Arabidopsis thaliana: one gene and its partners. The protein of the gene in region 2 interacts with the protein of the main gene of each other region in a pairwise test. Each region holds a gene or a part of one and is shown on either strand. Other genes may lie near its edges.

The links.
Region 1: the proteins of APG9 (region 2) and RBL15 interact in a two-hybrid assay, tested with the Arabidopsis thaliana proteins (one large-scale study listed by BioGRID).
Region 3: the proteins of APG9 (region 2) and AT1G27700 interact in a two-hybrid assay, tested with the Arabidopsis thaliana proteins (one large-scale study listed by BioGRID).
Region 4: the proteins of APG9 (region 2) and AT1G16790 interact in a two-hybrid assay, tested with the Arabidopsis thaliana proteins (one large-scale study listed by BioGRID).

The regions. Positions count from the first base shown.
Region 1 is NC_003074.8:21,622,680-21,628,406, forward strand, and holds RBL15 (RHOMBOID-like protein 15), read right to left. Parts: upstream 4,023-5,727; 5' UTR 3,964-4,022; coding exon 3,922-3,963; exon of another isoform or gene 3,794-3,921; coding exon 3,743-3,793; exon of another isoform or gene 3,670-3,742; coding exon of another isoform or gene 3,646-3,669; intron 3,135-3,645; coding exon 2,969-3,134; intron 2,791-2,968; coding exon 2,487-2,790; intron 2,244-2,486; coding exon 2,211-2,243; intron 2,121-2,210; coding exon 2,029-2,120; intron 1,941-2,028; coding exon 1,867-1,940; intron 1,710-1,866; coding exon 1,615-1,709; intron 1,537-1,614; coding exon 1,467-1,536; intron 1,385-1,466; coding exon 1,215-1,384; intron 1,135-1,214; coding exon 1,092-1,134; intron 1,002-1,091; coding exon 942-1,001; intron 865-941; coding exon 790-864; intron 701-789; coding exon 695-700; 3' UTR 523-694; downstream 1-522. Other genes in the region: AT3G58450 (Adenine nucleotide alpha hydrolases-like superfamily protein), read left to right, coding at 51-169, 261-378; AT3G58470 (nucleic acid binding / methyltransferase), read right to left, coding at 4,391-4,542, 4,626-4,707, 5,191-5,349, 5,475-5,727. UniProt on the Arabidopsis thaliana protein: Probable rhomboid-type serine protease that catalyzes intramembrane proteolysis. May function in senescence.
Region 2 is NC_003071.7:13,321,497-13,329,340, reverse strand, and holds APG9 (autophagy 9 (APG9)), read left to right. Parts: upstream 1-1,844; 5' UTR 1,845-2,206; intron 2,207-2,945; 5' UTR 2,946-3,047; coding exon 3,048-3,628; intron 3,629-3,729; coding exon 3,730-4,050; intron 4,051-4,472; coding exon 4,473-4,695; intron 4,696-4,842; coding exon 4,843-5,022; intron 5,023-5,101; coding exon 5,102-5,308; intron 5,309-5,676; coding exon 5,677-5,754; intron 5,755-5,848; coding exon 5,849-5,919; intron 5,920-6,014; coding exon 6,015-6,128; intron 6,129-6,224; coding exon 6,225-7,050; 3' UTR 7,051-7,291; coding exon of another isoform or gene 7,292-7,353; 3' UTR 7,354-7,373; coding exon of another isoform or gene 7,374-7,404; 3' UTR 7,405-7,508; downstream 7,509-7,844. Other genes in the region: CDT1A (CDT1-like protein A), read right to left, coding at 1-304; AT2G31265 (uncharacterized protein), read right to left, coding at 7,292-7,353, 7,374-7,404; HEMA3 (Glutamyl-tRNA reductase family protein), read left to right, coding at 7,815-7,844. UniProt on the Arabidopsis thaliana protein: Phospholipid scramblase involved in autophagy by mediating autophagosomal membrane expansion. Cycles between the preautophagosomal structure/phagophore assembly site (PAS) and the cytoplasmic vesicle pool and supplies membrane for the growing autophagosome.
Region 3 is NC_003070.9:9,639,318-9,643,802, forward strand, and holds AT1G27700 (Syntaxin/t-SNARE family protein), read right to left. Parts: upstream 2,586-4,485; 5' UTR 2,436-2,585; coding exon 2,359-2,435; intron 2,163-2,358; coding exon 2,048-2,162; intron 1,972-2,047; coding exon 1,483-1,971; intron 1,389-1,482; coding exon 1,202-1,388; intron 1,103-1,201; coding exon 1,077-1,102; 3' UTR 686-1,076; downstream 1-685. Other genes in the region: AT1G27695 (glycine-rich protein), read left to right, coding at 12-56, 384-416, 528-685; AT1G27710 (Glycine-rich protein family), read left to right, coding at 3,233-3,871; TAF4B (TBP-associated factor 4B), read right to left, coding at 4,034-4,185, 4,295-4,454.
Region 4 is NC_003070.9:5,742,497-5,745,775, reverse strand, and holds AT1G16790 (ribosomal protein-like protein), read right to left. Parts: upstream 1,442-3,279; 5' UTR 1,139-1,441; coding exon 704-1,138; 3' UTR 517-703; downstream 1-516. Other genes in the region: AT1G16800 (P-loop containing nucleoside triphosphate hydrolases superfamily protein), read left to right, coding at 1-117, 231-253; VHP2;2 (Inorganic H pyrophosphatase family protein), read left to right, coding at 2,207-2,305, 2,447-2,650, 2,755-2,906, 2,992-3,139, 3,209-3,279.

The DNA of each region.
Region 1 (5,727 bases), on a different chromosome or scaffold from region 2:
GTTTATCAGTGATCTTCTCTGTCTCTTGAGTTTATGGTTTTATGTTGTAGGTGAAGACAGAGACTATGATATTGGAAGGAGATCCTAAGGAGATGATATGCCAAGCCGTCGAGCAAACACATGTTGATCTTCTTGTTGTTGGTAGCCGTGGACTCGGCATGATCAAAAGGTACAAGTTTCATTTTTGGTCTAAGGTCTAACAACAAATTGAGATTTCTGGTTGTGACTATTCATTCATTCCTGGTGTTTGAGATATACAGGGCATTTTTAGGGAGTGTAAGTGACTACTGTGCCCAACATGCAAAATGTCCAATTCTCATTGTGCGACCGCCTAGAGAAACCTCAACTAGTAACACGAAGGAACACAAGAGCAAGTGAGGAAGGAAACCATGTTATAATAGCTTCTGTTTCATTCCGTTTGTACTCCGTAGAGAAGAAAAAAAAGTGTGCCGCCAATAAACAAGTTTACTTTTGCAAAGTAAAGTTCTACGTAGAGAGATTTTGCAAAAAAAGAAAATTTCAACTGATCTTTCGTTTGTATTAGATTCTAAACCGGAAAATCGGTTTGATCGTCTGGTTAAAGAACCTCCTTAAAGAAAACAGACGCTATACAGTTTCTAAATGCAAGTAAAAGACAGAATGAGAAACAAACGTTACAATACAAGCCAAAACAGTACTTTGCGAGTTGTTGGTGTTAAGCCTGCAAGTTTGATCACAGTGGTTTCGTTGTTAGTAGTGCCTAAACTCTAAAAATGAGTTAATAGAACTCTAGTTCGGAAAAGTTTATACCTGTTGGCTCATTAGGATCTCCACTGCTACGGTGAGATCATCGTCGGCAGCAGCAAGCGCCACTTCCACTTGTGTCTGAAGAAAATCCAGAGACTTTAAGCCATCTATTTACTATTGTTTTAGTTAACGTTGGTATGAAGCAAGAAACGTACCCTGTCAAAGCCCATGGCTACGAGTTTCTGGATTTGTTCTTCGGAAGCAGCAACACGACCCTGTGTTTTAACAGCTCAATAAGAGAAAAGCTTCTAGAAGCTGTACAAGGGTCTGGGTCTGAGCCGAATATCTTAGAGAAGAAAAGTAACCTGGGATTGGGGCAGGACTGCTGCATTAGCTATTGGCGCTTGTCTACACACGGTGAGACATGAGGGTGAGGTTGAAGAATGGCGTAATAAGCTGATAAATCATAAGCTGAAGAAATCAAATACCTTGAATCTGCCACGGTGTTGACAGTTGCATCAGAAAGGCGGTCTGGAGAGCTGCTATCTTCCAGCAGTCTAGCATGGAGGTTTGGGTCTGTTTCTCCAGCTGGAGCAGTAGGATCTCGGGCAGTGCTAAGAGTTCTACCTCTCCCCGGAAATCTACTGTCCTCAGAAGACTGCATGTGAAGTAATATGGTTAGATGTGAATGCATCCACCATGGTAAAGAAAAGAAACTAACAAGATTAGCATGAACGTACCTGATTAGATGCTTCCCTCTGTGGCAACCATGAAGACAAGGATCTCCAAGCATTTCCTGTAGAGAAACCACTGGTCAAAGAAAAAATGTCGTTAGGATATTCTCTGGGCAAACAGTCCAGTTTTTCATATGTTCTTAGGAAACCACACCTGGATGTTGTGTTTTGTGCAGAATAAGTGGGAATATAGCTGGAAGGATTCCCGCCAGTACACATAATGAACTTGGGTCGCCTAATGAAGCTAGACTGGAAGAGGACATAGAAACTGGATGAGTTACGATTAACTCAGAGAGCAACATCAAGAAGCCAGATCTGCATGAGTTTTAAATCCTCGATGGCCTCTCAATTAACAAAGAAAAGGAAACATCAAGAAGCCAGATCTTCTTAAGTACTTAGTACTTACCATCCAGGAGGCTGACTCAATGGTGGTAAAAAATGAAGAGCCAGGCATCAAGAAATTGAAGAGGCCATAAGAATCTGAAATCCAAAGCGACTAACAAATTAGCTCCCCATGAAAATGCAGGTTTAGAAAGAAGATGACAATGAAAAAGGTCAATAATCATACATGAAAATCCAGACAGGATGCCGCATAGATGCCCAAGCAGTGAAACATTTGTCATGAGAAGCTGGAATACTATTAGTAAGATCCACGGATACCTACACATGGATACAAACTTTTACATCATATGAGCAACAAGAAATGCAGGTGGGCATTAAGATGCCAACAAGCAAGACAATGGAGCTTACAGTTTAGCGGGAACGTTGAAGAGACCAAACACACTGCACAGAGAAATAAAGTAGCAAATGAAGAAATATGAGATGCTTCATGAATACAAAGAGTTGGCAAAAAATAGCCCACATTCAGAGGACATTAAACGCATATCTTATTAATATGTGTACAGACATGTGTAGCATTAACATGTTTGGAGAGAATGTATCTGAATTCTAACAAGAAGCTCATATTTACTTGCACTTTGATCTTCCAGAGTCTAAATCATTTAAGTAGCCCTTGAAAATTCTTACCTTCTAGAGGTAACTCCACTGAGACTTGTCTCTATGACAATCATAGAAAACAAGATTCCAGAAAATCCAATGGCGCATTCATTCATGAGATGATCATATTGGTAGAAGGGATTATATCCCGCCAAGGATGCTATAAGAAGATGCAATACGGCATTGGTCGTTGCCAGCAAAACTGTTAGGTAAAGCAAACGGACAGATCCCATGATTCTCTCCAGCTCAGAGCCCATAGGAACCAATGCCATCATGTTGAACAGAACATGAAGCAGTGATCCATGGAAAATAATGGCTGTATAAAACCTATAAACTGCACAGATAACGAGAAACGAGTGAACAAGAGGAAACAAAAAAAATCAGGACAGCTCAGGCATCTGAATTTAAAATTACCAGTTTGCAAGACGAAATAACTTTGGAAATGTAAGTTTTAGTGCCAATAGGAATATCTTCTACATGACATGCAAGCCTCAATAAATATGAGAACATACCTTGGAACCTCGATATGATTGCCGAGGGTAAGAAGCATACTTCATAAAAAGTGTCATATCCAGTTAAGAGGCATATCAGGTAAATGACCCCACAAACTACCACCACCGATGACGTGAGGAAAGGTATGGCATTCCACCACTGTCCAACTCGAGTTTGAACCCCAGCCTATGAGAAAATAAAGAATACATAACTAACCAGAAACAAGACCTTTACCAGTTTATAGGCTTATATCTAAACATTGTGCCGATTATCTACTTGGTTGGACATAGAAACCTTCTAATAATATTCAACCTTATGAATAATTTCAGAAATCTTCAAACAAAAGTATGATCCAGAGTCACAGTTGTATAATAGAATGGTGAAATTGTATTATTATACCTAAAACTTGAAGAACTAATGAAACAACACAAACAGAGGCTGCTATAACCTATTTTATGAAGAGAATGTTTCTACTTTCTACAACGAACGATTGGCCATGAAACTGAAGTTATGCCGAATTGAACTGCTAATTAGTTAACTCTACCGAATTAAGAGACGGTCGTACTGATTTCTGCTATCAGCCATAGCTCGTTCTCACTAGGAGTTTCTCGGTAATTAAACAAGCTAAAACCTCAACAATTTCTGACTAAGATCAAGGAATATAAGCAATCAGAGCAGAAAATTGAACAGATCTCACCTCGGTAACAATGTTCGGCCTCATAATCGAAGTCGCGAATCAGTCCTCTTCTCTGATGCTTGCGTGTGTTTGAATTTCAATGACCATGGAAGAAGACGAACAACTCTCGTTTCTCTCCCACCGTAAAAGACTCTTCTCGAGATCTTAACTTCTTCGCCCGGTTTAGCACTTTGATTCTGGTAAAGTTTGTAGAACCGGGTCGGACCAAAAACTTTTTATTCGCTGAGAGCAAACATCAATATTTCATCTCTTCCTCGCAAATTATAAAGTTGCAACGGATTGAATAATTTTTTGTGATGAGCTAATTCCGTATGTCATGTTGATTCATGATGCAATAAATCATTTTGGTAAATATGTTGAGATTTTGATAATAATGTAAAAGTATATCAGACTTGAGATCTGCGGTTGCAACAAGATACAGAGAACGATTGAACAAAGTGAGGTCACCAAGAGAACATTGATGAAAAATATCCAACACACATGAGCCGATGAGTGTTCCCTGCCACAAATGTTCCTCCGCTGCTAGAGGATAAGGGCTTGAAATGCCAGACACCTGAGATTGGTTAAGGCGCATCGTCATAAGAAATTAACAGCAACTACATGAACAGCAAAAGGGGATGACGTGAACGCGTGAGATGGATTTAAGCACATTGCTTTTTGTGATCAGAAGGGTAAAAGAACAATCACTGGTTTACTCAAGAACAGTCAAAAGACTTTAGAGAAGCAACTTACAAGCAAGTCACAACTAGCTGTCTTCTTCCAAGCCTCCTAATCTGGTACCTGGATCATAACTTATAAACAGTCGGAACTCGTTTCCGAGTTTGCTAGAGTGATGAGGCTTAAACACACAAGGGCGAACACCCAATAGCTCAGCTGCATGTTCTCTTTGCACCTCTCCTGCAAGACGTGAGATATCTCCTAGTTAATAAATCATAAGATCATATAAATTTGACTTGAGAAAACAAAAGTACCCATTGTACCTGTGAGAAGAAGCAACAATGAATCTACTGGGCTTGCGAGGAACAAAATTGTTTGACTAACTCTTTCCAGGCATTCCCTACTCTGCCAAGCATAAACGAATCAAGATCATTAACACGCTAACTAGAAGGTACTCAAAGACATTTATGCTTTGAAGATAGCAAGCAATATAGCACACAAAAACATCACAGATTAATGATATCCTCACAAGTCACAAATACTCCTACCCGGGAAATATTTCAAATGATAATCAAAACGCAGCAGAGAGCCACAAAGTATCCATCTTTAAGAAGTGACACTAAGCCATGACCATAACCAACTGATACTCCATTGTAAAGCTTACACTTTTTTTCTTTCATCTTGTCTGCTTTTGGACTTTCTATAATCTTTTAAAAGAAGATTAATTTATAAGCAATGCCTATCTAGCAGAAGCTTCTTGAATGTCAGAAGTTCAGAGCAGATTACACATCAGTCTCTAAACCTATCTATCAAGGGGCAGCTAAAAGATTTCCAAAATTCCCATGAAAGAACAGCATCGGAAAAGTTAAGAACTTGAAGAAACTTTACCAAGTAGGGAGGATCTGCAACGATTATATGGAAGCAATGTTTCAGCTGAAGCGGCAGATCTTCTGGTTCGTTGTAATCATAGAAAGTGAACTCTTTTCCATATCTCTCGAATCTCATATCGTACTCCAGCAATTGCACCTGAAGACTAGGATCTCTTTTCTGACTCAGCACAAATCAAAACCCGTCGCACAGAAATTTAGCATCAACGACAACAAAAGTATCGATTTTTAGCAAAACGGATTCGATACAAATTAAGGGTACTGAACAAAACTGATTAATAGTACCTTGAGATAAACGTAGAGAGTAGGGCAAGCAATGCAAGCGACTCTGCAGCCTGGAATTCTTTGAGAGAGAGTGACCACTTCATCTGCTACAGTCTCTGCAGTTTCAGGTTCGTACCAGAACTGGCTGAGTCTCCAATCCTCCGTAACCAGCTCCACTTTATCGGATTCTTCTCCTCCGGCGACGGAAGACGCCGGTGGCGTGCTCGCAACAGTCTTGTTCTGGTCTGCTAGAAATTCCCGAAGCGCCGCCAAA
Region 2 (7,844 bases):
AGCTTTTACGTTTTGAAGGAGAAGATGATGATGAATCGAAAAAGAGCCTGCTTTTGGCAGATGAAGCAACCGGATCTTCAGATCTGCGACGAGATCCAGCGGCTTGACGAATTTCTTTCACTGATAAAGCCACAGATCGGTTTCTCGATCTACTAAGCATGTTCTCAAGTGGTTTTTCCGGCGTAGGCAATGCTACAGAAGACGGATTTGGATTCCCGGTTTGAGATTTCGAAGACGGCGAATCCATCACCAATCGTTTCTTCGATTTGAATGGAATGGATCTAGAAGAGCCTGGTGTACTCATTTTTATCAACAATGTCTATAGAGTGTCAGATGCAGAGAGGAGATAGTGGAGGAGATAGATGAAGACGATGAAGACGACGGAAGAAGAAGAAGGGTTTAGATTTATTTAGGTCTTTGGCGCGCAATCCTACGTGTACCAAAGCCACGTATACCTCCCGCGCCTATTAACCCGTTGCTTCCCGCGAAAACACTTATCTACGAAGAAGCCCATTAATTAGGCCCATTATGAATTGCTGTCTCTGAACGAATCTAATAGATGCAAACCAAAGAGACCAGATTTCTTTTTTTCAACTTGTGATTTTTTTTATATGAACATGATTTATATAAGGTCGTCGTGCAATGTTTATGCTGCTTGTTCAGTATTTATAGTTTTTTTGAAAAATCAAAGATAATCTCATCATAAGGAATCTTATCAACAGTAAAATATTAAGATAAAACAGTTAGCCCAGCAAATCAAATATAATCAATGGTTTAGTTTATGTTTTCTATGTTTCTCTTTCTAAACTTTGAATATATTTACCACATCCTTATTTTAAATCATAGAATTAAACAGTTTTTAAATGATTATGATATTTTTTCTATTGTCATTTCTAATATTTTACTAACAAAACTTTAATTTTATTTGTCTATTAAATGTTATATTTTTCCGGTATTGTTATTTCTGTATATACTTGAACTTTTTCTTATTAAGGTTCGTCGTTTCCATTTTATTTTATATTATATTTGCTAATGAGGAAATCTATATAAAATCATGAAATAAATATTGATTATTAAAAGAAAACACATAAATATTAAACATTGAATATTACCACATCCCTATTCTAAATCAAAGAATTCAATAAATTTTCAATGATTATGAGATTCTTTTCAATTGTCATTACTACTATTTTCTTACTAACAAAACTTCAACTTTTCTTTTTATTAAATGTTATACTTTCCGATATTATTATTTCTCTATATACTCTTATTTAAATTTGTTGTTTTATGTCAATATATGAAGTTTTGATGATTATAATAATAAATACCAATTTTTATTTCTTTTATCGGTTTATCGTCTAGTTGACAAAAAAAAATATAATGCCGTTATAAAATAATTATAACTTTCATGAGTTTTTATTTTTGATTAACATTTAAAAAATTAAAGGAGCTAGATGTATCAATTTGTATTATATTATGCTCTGAGACTAAATATTGATCTTGATACCAAGAATCTGATCTAGATCCAAAATTTATGTCAACTGACTCACTATCATATTTTCAAAACTCAATTTTAAAGTTAGTAATATAATGTACATCTTAACTATTGTTTTTTTGGGTCTGTTTAGAATCTGGGCCGGTGCCCACTCAAAACAATCGGCCCATTATACAAGTTGTTAAAATAAAATTCAATATATCACATTAAAGAAAAATTACAATTTTTTGGCTTCAAGACTTTTTTTTTTGTGTGTGCAAAGACTTTTTTGGATTCAAGCTAATAAATGTTAGATTACCTTTTTAACCAAAGATCAAAGTAAAACCAAAATCATAGAAGAGGAAGAGAACTCGTGATCACGTTTCTTTGGTTAAGTAATGTTGTATAGAAGAGAAGAGAAGAGAAGAGGAAGAAGAAAAGCCCAAATCGAAAATTGAAAACTAGTACTCCAAACTCCAAAGCATCAATATTTTATCACTCCTCTTTTCTTCCACGCAAACCCAATTCTCTTCGTCTTCTTCTTTTGCTTTTCTCCCCTAAATTCGTCGATCAAATTCTTGTCTTTTCAACTTCTTCATCGAATTTTCCATTGCCCATAGCCTCTGTATTTGATTCCTCCTTCTCTAAAGCTTCGGATATTAAGACAATTATATCTTCCTAGCTGCTTATAGACCTTCGCTTTCTAATTGCTGTTCCTTTCGTGGGTCTCTGGTAAGTTTTGATTTTCTCATCTGCTGTTATCGAGAAAGGTTGATTTTTTTTGATTAATCGCACTGTGATTTAAGGTTGGAGGAGATTATAGTGTTAGCTTAAGGGTTTTTGAGGTTTCAATTTAGAATCGTATTGCTCCTGATCATTTCCCTGTTAAAAGTAGATAAACCCCTTGTTCTATTGGGAAGGAATTCGCCGTTTTTGCTTCGTCTTCTTGTGAAAAATAGAGTTGGTTTTAGGTAATTGACTTTGATCAAGGTCTATTGGTTGTGCAAAGGTTGCGTGAATCTTGTGTCAGCCTCTTGATTGAGTATAGATTACTTCGTCTTCGCTTTCTCTGCACCATCAATTGTCATCAGAGTGCTAGGCATTTAGTGCATTGTCCAAAGATTCTGCTTGTGCATGAATGCTATTGTTGAAAAAGAAAGGAAGTGTTTGAAATCGAATAGTCTTTTGAGTGTCAAGCAAAGGATAGGTGGGTCTGGTTTATATCCATCATGGTGGAAAACAGATATAGAAACATTTCTTTAGCAGGTTATGCCACGAGTTCCGTATCCTTGGTTTGTCTTTCTGCGTTTAAGGATTTGATTTGCCTTAGTGTCTCATTGGTTAGTATATTCATTGTATGTGCTTCTAGCTTGAACATTTTAGTGGCACTTTTTTGTTTGCATACATAAATTATCTCTGTCATTAGGTGATTTGCATTGTGGATGCTTTATGTTATTCATGTTTGATGCAGGATTTGTAGTTGCATTCTCATTGCGCACTACACTTTCTTCAAATTTCCGCGTGGTAAGCAGGGAATGGACCGGCTGTTTTGGCCAATCGTCTGTGTTTACAAATGATGAGCAGTGGGCATAAGGGTCCAAATGTACGTAACTTTTTTAAATGGCAACGTGGTGAATCATCATCGTCTTTGACTACTGGATTGCTTCATAATGAGTCACACGAGATTGAGCTATCTAACTACGGAGGAATACCAAGTCCTGGTAGTGAGAGCCCATCGGGACTTCTTAATGGAGAGAGTTTAAATGTTCAACCAATTGCTGATTTGGATCTTTTTGTCGAAAGGCTCTACAGCTACTACAGAGACAAAGGACTTTGGTGTATTATAGTAAAGTGGGCTGTTGAGCTTCTAAGTCTGGGCTTCATCATATGCTTCTCTGGGTTTTTCTTGCTGTATGTTGATTGGAATGGTCTTCAGAATGCAAAATGTGGAATGGATGCAGTTGAATCAGGAACTAAACCATGTGATCTTGTCAAAGAAGCTATCCATCCGCATCCTTTATCCCCTTTCACGCTCACAACTGCTATAATTGTTGGATATTTGGCCCTCTTCTCTGTGTACTGGCTCTTCTGCTTCTTAAGGTTTTTTGCCCAGTTGAAAGATACTTTGGACTTTCGGCACTTTTATTACAACAAGTAAGTTGGAAGTTGCAACATGCTATGAATAGTTATTGCTAGAGCAAAACATGCATTTTAGGTCATAATTGATTTTCTTTCTTTTTGTTGTAAATTTGCAGTCTCCATGTCACAGACAATGAAATCCTTACTATGCCATGGGCAACAGTCCTTGAGAAGGTTGTTCAGTTACAAAGCTCACAATGCCTTTGTGTGGTTAAGGATCTTTCTGCTCATGATATGGTTATGCGCCTTATGCGGAAAGAAAACTACTTGATTGGAATGCTCAACAAAGGTTTGCTTTCTTTCCCAATTTCCCATTGGATCCCTGGTGCTGGTCCAGCAGTCAAATCCGCACCAGATGGGACACAGTATCACCTTGTATTGACAAAGACCCTTGAGTGGACCCTTAACTGGTGCATATTGCAGAGCATGTTTGACTGGTATGCTATTCTCCACGCTAATCTTTGATCTAATCTGAAAACTGCTTTCTAATAACATTGTAGATATAGGATTTTATGAACTGCTATAGTGATAAATGGAGAGTTTGTGATGCATATGGAAGTTTCAGTTTTGATGATTTGCTTTTTCTTGGTCAGATTGTAGTGATCTTTTCAAGTTAATAAGATTGTCCTGTTAGAGGTTTTCTCCCTGTATATATATTACGTCAGTGAAAAATTGCGTAAGTTAATAAGATTGTCCTGTTAGAACCTACATGGGAGTGGCCGAAGTGCGTGTATGTTATATTTCATATTCGTAGTTAACTACTAGTACTACGGTGAAGAGTAAGGCCATAGAATGAAAAATTCCTTGCACATGCTAAGAATTGTCCGTTTTGTCTAATTCAGGCGTTTTCATTCTGCAGCAATTTTCGTGTTAGAAGGGACTTTGTTTCAAATCCTACAACACTGAAGAAACGACTATTTGTGGTTGGGCTTGCTATGCTTCTGCTGTCACCGTTTCTTGTCATCTTTATGTTGGTGTATTTATTCCTAAGGCATGCTGAACAGTTCTACAATCATCCAAGTACTGCATCTTCTCGAAGATGGTCCAATTTGTCAAAGTGGCTCTTCAGGGAATTCAATGAGGTAGTTGCCTTCATCTGGCGTCCATGCCCACAAAAGTCGTGTGAACGGAGTTTAATTCTGATTTCTTAGTAAACCTTTGAAATTTTCCGACTCTCTCCATTCAAAATAAATGTGATGCCTTTTCTAAACTTCTTGTTTCTACAACAGGTTGACCATTTATTCAAGCATCGGATTAATAGCAGTGTAGTACATGCATCCGAATATCTAAAGCAATTTCCCTCGCCTATCATCTCCATTATTGCAAAGTTTGTCTCGTTTGTTTCTGGCGGCTTTGCTGCTGTCTTAATCATCATTGCGTTTCTTGAAGAATCTCTACTTGAGGGACATGTAAGAAATACTAACAACGCAAAAAGCATTTGATAGATAAATTATTTGGGTATTGAAGTTTCTTTTACCACCTGTGTAGATATTCGGCCGCAATCTGTTCTGGTATGCCGCTGTTTTTGGAACAATTACAGCTATTAGTAGAGCTGCCATATCGGATGAACTTTTGGTCCTCGACCCAGTAGGAACTATGTCTTTGGTGGTCCAAAACACTCATTATATGCCTAAGAGATGGCGTGGAAAGGAGAACAAGGATGATGTCCGCTTGGAGTTAGAGACTCTGTTTCAGGTACCATGTTAACTTATTAACTTCTTTTTTTACAAACAGTTTGTTTAAGCTAAAGATCAATATTTAGTCACTGCCATCTTTCATGTAAATTTTCTGAATGTTTTCTATTTGACACTGTCAAGATAACTGCATACAGTCTTATTTTCCATAATACGCTGAATAGTGAATGCCAAATTTATGCTTACACCTATTTTTACTTAATTAGCTTCATAATGTAATGAATTTAAGCAGCAAGATGAGCTACTTACAGGGTACAATAGGATGTTCTGCTAACTTTTTGGGTTCTTTTTATGATATTCCTTCTTGGTCTCTACTACTTTCTGAATGAATTTATATAAATGATGCTAATGAAAATTTCTGCACCTCAGTATACTGGAATGATGCTATTGGAGGAGATAGCTTCAATCTTCATCACACCATTTTTGCTGATGTTTGTCGTGCCAAAGGTATATTTCTCTCACATTCGCGTTAGTGTACCCCACGTCAAAATTGAGAATATACAATGATTGTGGTCTCACACATTTTGAGTTCACTTTCCAGCGGGTGGATGACATCTTGCAATTCATTAAGGATTTCACAGTTGATATTGAAGGTGTAGGCCATGTTTGCAGGTAAACAACTCTTCTAGTCATATCCTGTCCAGAAATTGTTTTAAAGAAATTTACAATAAGGATTACATTATGATCATTGGCCGTTTCGCTTGCAGCTTTAGTGCTTTCTACTTTGAGAACCATGGAAATATCAAATATGGTTCACCACATAATGCAACTCGTCGTGAGCAGAGAAGCTCACAAGGGAAAATGGAGAAATCATTCTTGAGGTTTGAGGCATTTCATTGTCTGTTTTTTTCTCTGCAACATATGAATTCTCTTGGAATATATGCAAATCAGTGTTAAGTGTTACATTTTATTTGCAGTTTCCAGAGTAGTTATCCTTCTTGGGAGTCAGATTCTCTTGGGAAGCAGTTTCTGTCAAATCTCAGAACTTTCCGGGACCGAAAGCTTCATGAAATAAACACAAGACACTCATCTCCTAGTAGGGCGTGGCGAGAAAGCACTAATACCCCTGCTTTATACAGAGACATTCCAAGAAATCCGCTTGCGAGCGGCAATCACACTGATTCAATGTGGCTGATTGATCCAGATCAGAGGAATCATCCTTATCTTCTTGACTGGTATTACACTTCTCAGGCTCACAACAGAACTGATCACCCAATAGAGAGAGCAAATGAAATCTTAACCGCAAATCAGAACGCTACAGATTGTTGGCCTCCTGATTTGGGAATCCGTGGTGAAGATAGCAGAGATCTGCTCAACATGGAGGCAAGCACATCAGGTCAGTTTTTCAGAGAGAGCATTCTGCGCCATGACCAACCCGAGGGAGAGGATAGTTATGGGAGTCAGCATCCTCTTGATGGTAGGAACCAGTGGTGGGGAAGAGGCAACCACTCTCAGATCAGCACAGCTCATCCCGCAACCACCAATAGCTTCATCGAGCCACCTGATTTTATAAACCGCTACACAGCAGGAAACTTATTAGACAACTCTTGGAGCAGAAGAAGCATAGAAGAAGAAGATGAAGAAGAAGAAGAATTGGATTGGGAAGAGAATGCAAGAAGAAATTTGTCGAGAACTACATTCATGGACGATAACGATATCGAAGCTGGGATTGATCTCCATTTCGACGATGTATATAGTTCAAGACCTCAAGAAACTTCAACATCAAGCACCACATTACGGTGACAACAATGAATTTTTTTGATTCAAAGTTGTTTCTTTGTTCAGTCTTTTTTATGGTGGATGAAGAAGGAAGATAAAAGAGATGCTTTTGTAGAAAGTGTTCTCTGTATTTGGAAAAAAAAATGTGGGAATAATAACAAGTCTCTCCTCTTTTTTTTTTTTTCTTTGGTTATGTTTCATCCTAACAATACATGCAATTCTTTATTGTTGTGTATATAAAATAGGTCCTTAAAAATGGTGTTTTTCAATCGTGTTTAAGAGCTTTATCGGCGTAAGAAAGAACCTTTTTCAGGATCCTCACCTCACCTGATACAGAGCAGATAAACCTAGCTCGTTATCTTCGAAAGACAATTCCATCTCCTTGAACAAACGGAACACTTCATCAGTGGTCTCTGCGGAATCGAAAGCCTCTTTGAGATGATCTTTTCCTGATATAACGGATAATCTCAAGATTAAGAGCTCAGTGTTTGACCACACCGAATTGCTTGACTTGCATTCCACGCCAAGAACACCACGTTAAGGTGATCCTTCGGTGAAGTAGGAATCCTGTTTCGAGACTGAAACGAGAAAGGACCAAGATGCAAATATTTTCTACTAAAACGATAAAGGACCAAGATGCAAATATTTCTTCTTACTTTTTTTTTTTTTTTGCTTTTTACATTTCAAAATAAACCTGAGAATGCCTATTACATTTTCTTAAAATCCCTCTTCACCCGATCCCTCTTTCTTTGTCTCTGTCTCGAGATTGCTAGTAAACTCAAAAAGCTATGGCGGTTTCTAATGCCTCTGTTGTTCTT
Region 3 (4,485 bases), on a different chromosome or scaffold from region 2:
GGAATTCATAGGGTTCGGTGTTGGTTGTGGATTTGGCGTTGGATGGGGTTTTGGAGGTTCGTTCTCAACTTCTCTCTTTTTCTGCTTTTACTTGAACAAAATCTGGACTGAATTACAAGATAATTCTATTGGAACAATTCTCTTGCTAGTTGCTATGGGATGTGCAATGCACTCTGCTGTGCTTGTTTAGTTTTGTGATCATATTGCTTAATGTCTCTTATAGAGATTATCAACTCCTACATATCATCTTTACTCAAATGCTTCTTCTTTCCTAGCTAATGGTTGCTTAAACGCATAGCTAGTATCAGTTGCGCTTACATTTTGATGGATTCATACTATTTTGCAAACCTACTGAATTGGAGATTTCCGTTGCTTTCATGCAGGAATGCCTATGAACATCTTAGGTGTTGGTGCTGGTAAGCATTTCAAACTTCTACTTCAAATATCCCACACTCGCATAGATACACACCGAGCAGGTTTTTCCTAAATTCTAATTACGTAACTTATGCGTCTGGTATTTGACAAAGGTGGCGGTTGCGGGGTGGGTTTGGGCCTCGGGTGGGGTTTCGGGACTGCGTTTGGGAGTCACTATCGTTCATCTAGACTTACATTTCAAGGCATCGAGTTAGAGACTGCCGATAAACGGGAGGAGGTGGTGGCTAACATGTCCAAAAACTCCACTTAAGCAGTCGTGTGCTTCAATACTCTGCTCGGATTGATTGTAAAAGAATTCTGACACCTTTTCTTATTTCTCAATGAAACGGTTACTTCAAATAATCCAATACGAAATGCATTTCTGTATTCTGAATTGTCATTTTTAGAAGGTTCCACTTCAATCTTGGGTTTAGTCCCAAATAATTCTACAATGGTTAATAGGATTGGTGCCTAAGAAAACAATGATTGCTCAATGAAACCCGTTTCAAATAATCGAACCAAAAAAATGCATTTCTATATTACAAACAACCAAAAACAGTTGGAATTTACTGTACAGTAAAAATGTGGATTGCCAAATTCGTCTCTTTCGCTGTTACACAGAAGATGAATGAACTCGAACCTTGCTATTCCAAACCTCTCTTCTACATTGAATGCACTGCAACTACCACTGCAATCAGAAAAAAAAACAATTTATCTCAAAACTCAAAAGTGATGCAGTAAGCTTTGCGTTCTAAACATAAATGATTCAGAGTTCAGTAAATCTTACCAATAAGAAAAACTAAAAGAATAATCCAAATTGCAGCGTGAACCGATTTACTATATCGCATTCGATACTGAGACCGTTGGAGTTGCCTCTGTAGAGCTCCATACCAACCATGAAGCTGCTTTTCATAACAGTCCTCCTCACACTCCATACAACTCTTGCCCCTCTCTGAACATCCATTCATATCTTGCTGAGAAACAAAAAAATAAAAAGCATTTCTTAGCAAAGATTTTCAAAGCAGGAGGCAAAAATCTTGCGGTTGGAGATCGATCGATCAAACTTACTTGGTTAGCTTGGATAGGTAATAAAGCAGCATCAGAGTCTCCTTGACGATCTAAACCCTTCCACTTTCTATTGCAATGCTTGGACACAGGATCCATATAATTCAAGAATCCAGAGAAGCTAGGTACTTTCCTCGGAGGTCGAACCACTGGCTCATCACAAGATTTCTTCACTAAACCATCATCAGAAACCGCAATGTTCCAAGCACTGAATTCAGCAGCACTTGCAGTCCTTCTATGTCCATTAGGATTTGCTTTAGCAGATTCAGATGGACCAGTCAAGAAGAGAGCAAGCTCATTACGATCATCTTCATCCAAACGAACCCATCTCGGTGTTCCTTTCCCATCGGATTGCGCAGCTTCCTTGAGAGATTTCTCGATTTTCGACACTTGAGCTTCCATTACGAAAGTAAACTCACGATGCCTATCTCTAGTTTCATCACTCAAACGATTGTCATAGCTAGATTTGACAGCTTTTTGGAATTCATCTAACTACACCAAAAATATTACAGGTTTCATAAATCAACATTACAGATTAAGAATCTGAGTTCTGAGGAAAGAAAGAAACCTGCCATTTGGTGGTTCCAAGAGCTGCGTGAAGATCTCTATGAAGCTGCTCAGAGTCCCATACTTTTGAAGAGTCTCGTTTCCCATTGAGCCATGTCCTGTACGCTGACTCCATCCTACACATGAATCGAAGATAACAACACACATTGTGAGATTTCAGATCTAAGACTTGATTTGATTAATCAGAAATCGTAATCCCAAATCCGAAGCAACACGAATCGAATCGTCGACATTGCATCACCAACAATGAGAGTTTATGGTATCACAGATTCAAAACGAAAATTGGGAGATGAGGATCCGAAAAACGCAAACCTGTCGGCAGATTCCTGAACTTCTTCAGCAGCGGGAAAGAAAGGATCTTTCTCCCACCGATCCAAACTCGTCGTCATCACTTGAGCAGATGAAAAAAAACAAACTAATTTCCTAATCCTTGGAAGATGAGAAGAAACCCAGAAATGGAGGAAAATGGAGAAGATGGATGGATCGAGAAAGATTTCAGAGAAGAGAGGGAACGTTCGTTCATCGATTAGCCAAATTACGGCCTTTCGTTACACACACGTGCGAAAATTAGTACTATTAATGTTTGGTTTATTCAATGTGGTTCTCAATAAACCGGTCCATAATCTCTAATTCTCTTCATTTTGGTTAACGCTTTATTTATGACAGCATAATTACCAAAAGAACTAGTAATCGAAAGTATGATTAAAGGAAAAAAATATGCCATGATCCTACTTTTGATTACTTATGACTTATCTATCAATTTTATTCATGTTATAATCATTTTATTACAGTTTCATAATTCATTGTTTCCTCTGGAACATATGTGTGATAACCAATATGTTCAAATCAGATCAATGGATTGGTACACGAGTCACTCCTTGTTTTCTTTTATTTAAGAAAAAACTTGAGACTGCAAAATGAATAATAATGAAAAAATGCAGCAAAAAGTGTGGGAAAAATCATGCGAATGAGAACCATCACCTGTTACACCTTTCTGGTGAGTCACCATATATGCACCTCTCTCTCTCTCTACTGGCACGCCCATGCCAACCATCACCGTTGTATTATGTCCCAAGATATATAAATAGTGGTGTGTGTTTGTGGCTGTGTATTATTCAAACACACAAGTCCTTTTACTTCCTTTTTCAGATTCTAAGCAAACAAATTGTGTCACTAAGCAGCCATCATGGCTAGAGTGATCTTGTGGTTTCTTGTTTCCTCGTATCTTTGTCTCATCGGTCATATGATTGCCGAGGCTGCAAGAGAAGGTGCCTCCATGAGGAAGGAAGCACACTCCAGTGGGATTGGAAGAGAAAGTAAGCTCATGAGGAATGAAAAACACTCCACTGAGATTGGAAGAGAAAGTGCGTCCATGAGGAATAAAGCACGCTCGAGTGAGATTGGAAGAGAGAGTAAGCTCATGAGGAATGAAGCACACTCCAGTGAGATTGGAAAGAGTATCCGACACGTAACCGGATTTAAGGGTGAACTCACAGCTGGTGGCTACGGCGGTGGAGGCCCGGGATATGGTGGTGGTGGATACGGTCCAGGTGGCGGCGGTGGTGGTGTTGTAATCGGTGGTGGATTTGGTGGAGGTGCCGGGTATGGTTCAGGTGGTGGTTTGGGTTGGGATGGAGGCAACGGAGGTGGTGGTCCAGGATACGGGTCAGGTGGAGGAGGTATTGGTGGTGGAGGAGGTATTGGTGGTGGAGTCATCATTGGCGGTGGTGGTGGAGGATGCGGAGGTTCATGCAGCGGAGGCGGTGGTGGTGGAGGAGGATATGGACACGGCGGAGTCAGCACGAAGGGATCAGGCAAAAACTAGAAAAAACATGCAGCTTGCTTTAGGTAGTGAAAGGAAGAAGAAATAAGGATGTACTTTAGCATCTTGATCATGTTTAGGAGTTTGTAATGGCATTAGTTTTAATGGAATAAGAACCTTTCTACAAAAAAAAATAAAGAATTGGTCCTATGTCTTTTCTTGGTTTCAAACATCCGAGCAGATTCTATTGTATACGCGATACAATAGCGTCGATCTTGACATCTGAGGCTCCTTTTCCACCACAGCGATCACATCCTTCACAGAGATTGACCGGACTACTTTTGGTAAACCTTGGTTCTTCCCAAATTGTGTACCACCTACATAAAGTTCGAATATGCAATTAGGAGCACGAAACACAAGAATAACCAGCAACAGAACTGAGAGATTTACTCTTTCAGATCATAGAAACGGGATTACCAATCTTACCAGAAAGTTTCTTGGAGTTTCTTCCTGGCCCTGGAGAAGATCTCTGACGTGCTTCAGCCATAAGTTTCCATTTTGAAAACCTATCATCTCCTCCAACGGCTGCACGAACAGCAACATTTGCAGCCTTGGCTCTCTCTTTATCTTCGTCCTTCTTATTTGCCTGACTTGTGATCAATAAACCTCTTTCAGTG
Region 4 (3,279 bases), on a different chromosome or scaffold from region 2:
TTGCTGCCATTCTCAATTCGTCTCTGATTCCTTCACATAAGCCTAAACCTCCAAAGCGACCATTGTCCCCAGGTTCAACCGCCGGCAGTCATACAAGACCACCTAAGGCGATCAAAGGTAAGATTTCATTACATATCGAACCTCTTTATGTTCTTCCTCAGAAGCTGATATGCAATTGTAAATTAGTATGTCTTAATGTTGAATTTCACTTACACTCTTCTTATTTGCAGAGTCAACCAAGAACAACAGTTAACAAAGATAACAAACAAACAACTGATTTCACAAAGGTTATTTCCCACAATCGTGAACCAGTTGTTAATTTCCGGTTTCATGGGTAAGTTTTATAGTTTCCTCTGGCGTCATTCATCATAGGTTCTCTCATGTTCTAACTCTGAAACTAGCACTAGGAGAAAATTTTGGCTAACTTAGTGTTGGCAACTCAAATTGCAATATTTTGTTGAAAGTTGCCTGCTATGAAATTTTATTTTGCTGTGTATATATTATCATGCCATTATGATAAAAACTGTTTAACAAATTGTCTTTTCTTTGTTTTAGAGCAAAATTAATTGGGATAATTTTCTAATGAGATTATTGTTCAACAGTACAAAGATTGAAGTCGCTGATACTCAAATTTCACTAAATACAACACCGGAAAAAAACTCATAAGAAACCATATCAACCTAGAATTTTCCTTTCTAACAATTCAAGAGGTAGATGAAGGATCCGTCCCGATCCTAACGGCGGACCAAATTTGACCAATGCCTCTGGTAACGTGAGGCCAAACGGCGCTAATTCCGTTAAGTGTCGCACCAGAAGCTAACCCTAACGCGAAAGTCTCAACGTATCCAGGTTTCGTCTCCAGCTTCGCGTCGACGACGGCAAGCCTCCCGTTAATGGCGTCGATTTTCCTCGCGTCGGTTACAAGCTTATCCTTGCTCGAGGCGTTTCTGGAGGACGAAACTACTCGGACGAGCGCGTTTTGTAAATCTTCGATGACCTTTATTGAAGCTTCTGCTGGTTCCAGCCCTCGTTTCTGGTAGTGAGAGATTAGTTCCGTCGGAGTTGGGAATTTCTTCGATTTCTGCTTTTGTTCTGATTTGGTTTCCTCCGCCGCGTTTGGTGTCGCCGGTTGCTTCATCTTCTGCTCCGCCGGGTATACAAGTACAGAATTTGAATCTCTTATCTGGGAAATTTTCTAAAGTACAGCTCCTGGGTTGGAAGATGAGACGGAAGATAATTATTTGATTTTATTTATATTTTAAAAATCAACTTTGGGTAATTTTTCTTCATGGACTGTCTGTTGGGCTTGGGCCCACGAATACTGTGAAACTAGTAATCTCCTTTAATATGGTAAAATGATAGCATAACAACAATATTGCCTAATGCGCCTAAAAACAATACTTAGGAGGAAATTATTAAAATCTATATTATTAAGTGGGGCTTATTAAGAAAAAATGCTCCTTGTGATGACGTGTCAAAAACTCATTAGTCAGGATTGTCCAATTAACCCGGCATGAGAAATAAATTAACAAAAGAGTGTAAACTAACCTCTGAAGTGTTAGGATTTACGGTGACAACAGACAGAGAGAGTGGAGAACGCTTCTTCGGCTAGGACGACAAGCTTCGAGTTGATGGCGGTTTTCTTCTGACCATTCTCTGAAACTGTAATTTGTCTTCACTGTTTCGCCGATTTAGGGGTTTTCTTACTCGCATTTCGGAAACAAATATTATTCGTATCTGTTATTTTGCCTACAATTTCGCTAATTCTCTGTCGTTTACGTTTTCGTTTTCGTTTAGATCATGATAGTGAGAATTTAGATCTGATTGGTTTATCTACAAAATGTTGGTGTTCGATAAGTCTAGCTAAATCTTACAGTAGAATTTCATGGTGTCCGATTAATACAGAGAAATTTTCCGGGGCTTAATTCTTGTCAGTTTTATTTCAGAATCTTCTCTTATGCTGAAAACTATATATGGGAGGTGTTTCTCTCGGAGTCAATACCGAGTGAGAAAGTGTGAAGAAGCTGATCAAGATATAGTCAGACTTTGTGGGTTACGATTAGTTCTCTTGTTATGCTGTGGTAAACCTTTGGAGGGTCTTTTGTAGCGTATCAAGATTCAGCGTCCAAGTTCTGGGGCTGAGCTGCCCCGTAGCACGGGTTTTATACCTCTTCCCCTTGTTCGGAGGGCAAATTCGTTACAAAACATGATGATGGATGAAGATGTTGAGCAGGCCACTCTGGTTTCTTACAGTGACAAGCCAAGGACCTTCCCGGATATGCGTAGTAAAACTTACAGTCCATTGGTTAGGACATAATACCCTTCTCTCTCGAGCATATCTTTCTTGCATCTAAACACCGTCATATTTATACAAATATGTATTGGTGTTATATCTGGTTTTATTTCTATTTCTTTTGGTATCTTTATAATGAGTTGTTTTGTGCAGATAATCCGCATTCTGAGAAATTTAAATGTTCGTGCCCTTTCTGTACTTCTGCTTTTGAGCTTTGGAGGGATCTTTTACATGGGAGCACGTACTTCTCCCATCATTGTGTTCGTCTTTGTAGTATGCATCATCAGTTTCATGTTGTCAGTATACCTGACCAAGTGGGTATTAGCCAAAGATGAAGGACCTCCAGAAATGGTTCAGGTAATTTCACACAAGTTTTAATTTGTTCTATTCGTGATTGTGTCTTCTTTGTTACTCAGTTGCATTTTCAGTTCTGTGCTATGAGCTTATTCTTTTCTGTTTAGATATCAGATGCTATACGTGATGGAGCTGAAGGATTTTTAAGAACGCAGTATGGTACTATATCCAAAATGGCGTTCTTGCTAGCTTTTGTGATCCTTTGCATATACTTGTTCCGTAACTTAACCCCCCAGCAAGAGGCTTCTGGTTTAGGAAGGTGATCATACATCTTCTACAGAATCTTTTCTTTTATCTTTTGTGTTGTTATAAATAAAACTCAAATGTATAACTTTGTGCTTCAGGACAATGTCTGCATACATTACTGTTGCTGCATTTCTTTTGGGTGCGCTATGTTCAGGTATTGCTGGATATGTTGGAATGTGGGTGTCAGTTCGTGCTAATGTACGGGTTTCCAGTGCTGCTAGACGATCCGCAAGGGAAGCATTGCAGGTTTGTTTTTTAGTATTAATAGGAATTCCTGTACACATGGCCAAATACTAAGTGATGGATTTAATGCAGATAGCTGTTCGTGCTGGTGGATTCTCAGCTCTGGTTGTTGTTGGTATGGCTGTGATTGGTATTGCCATCCT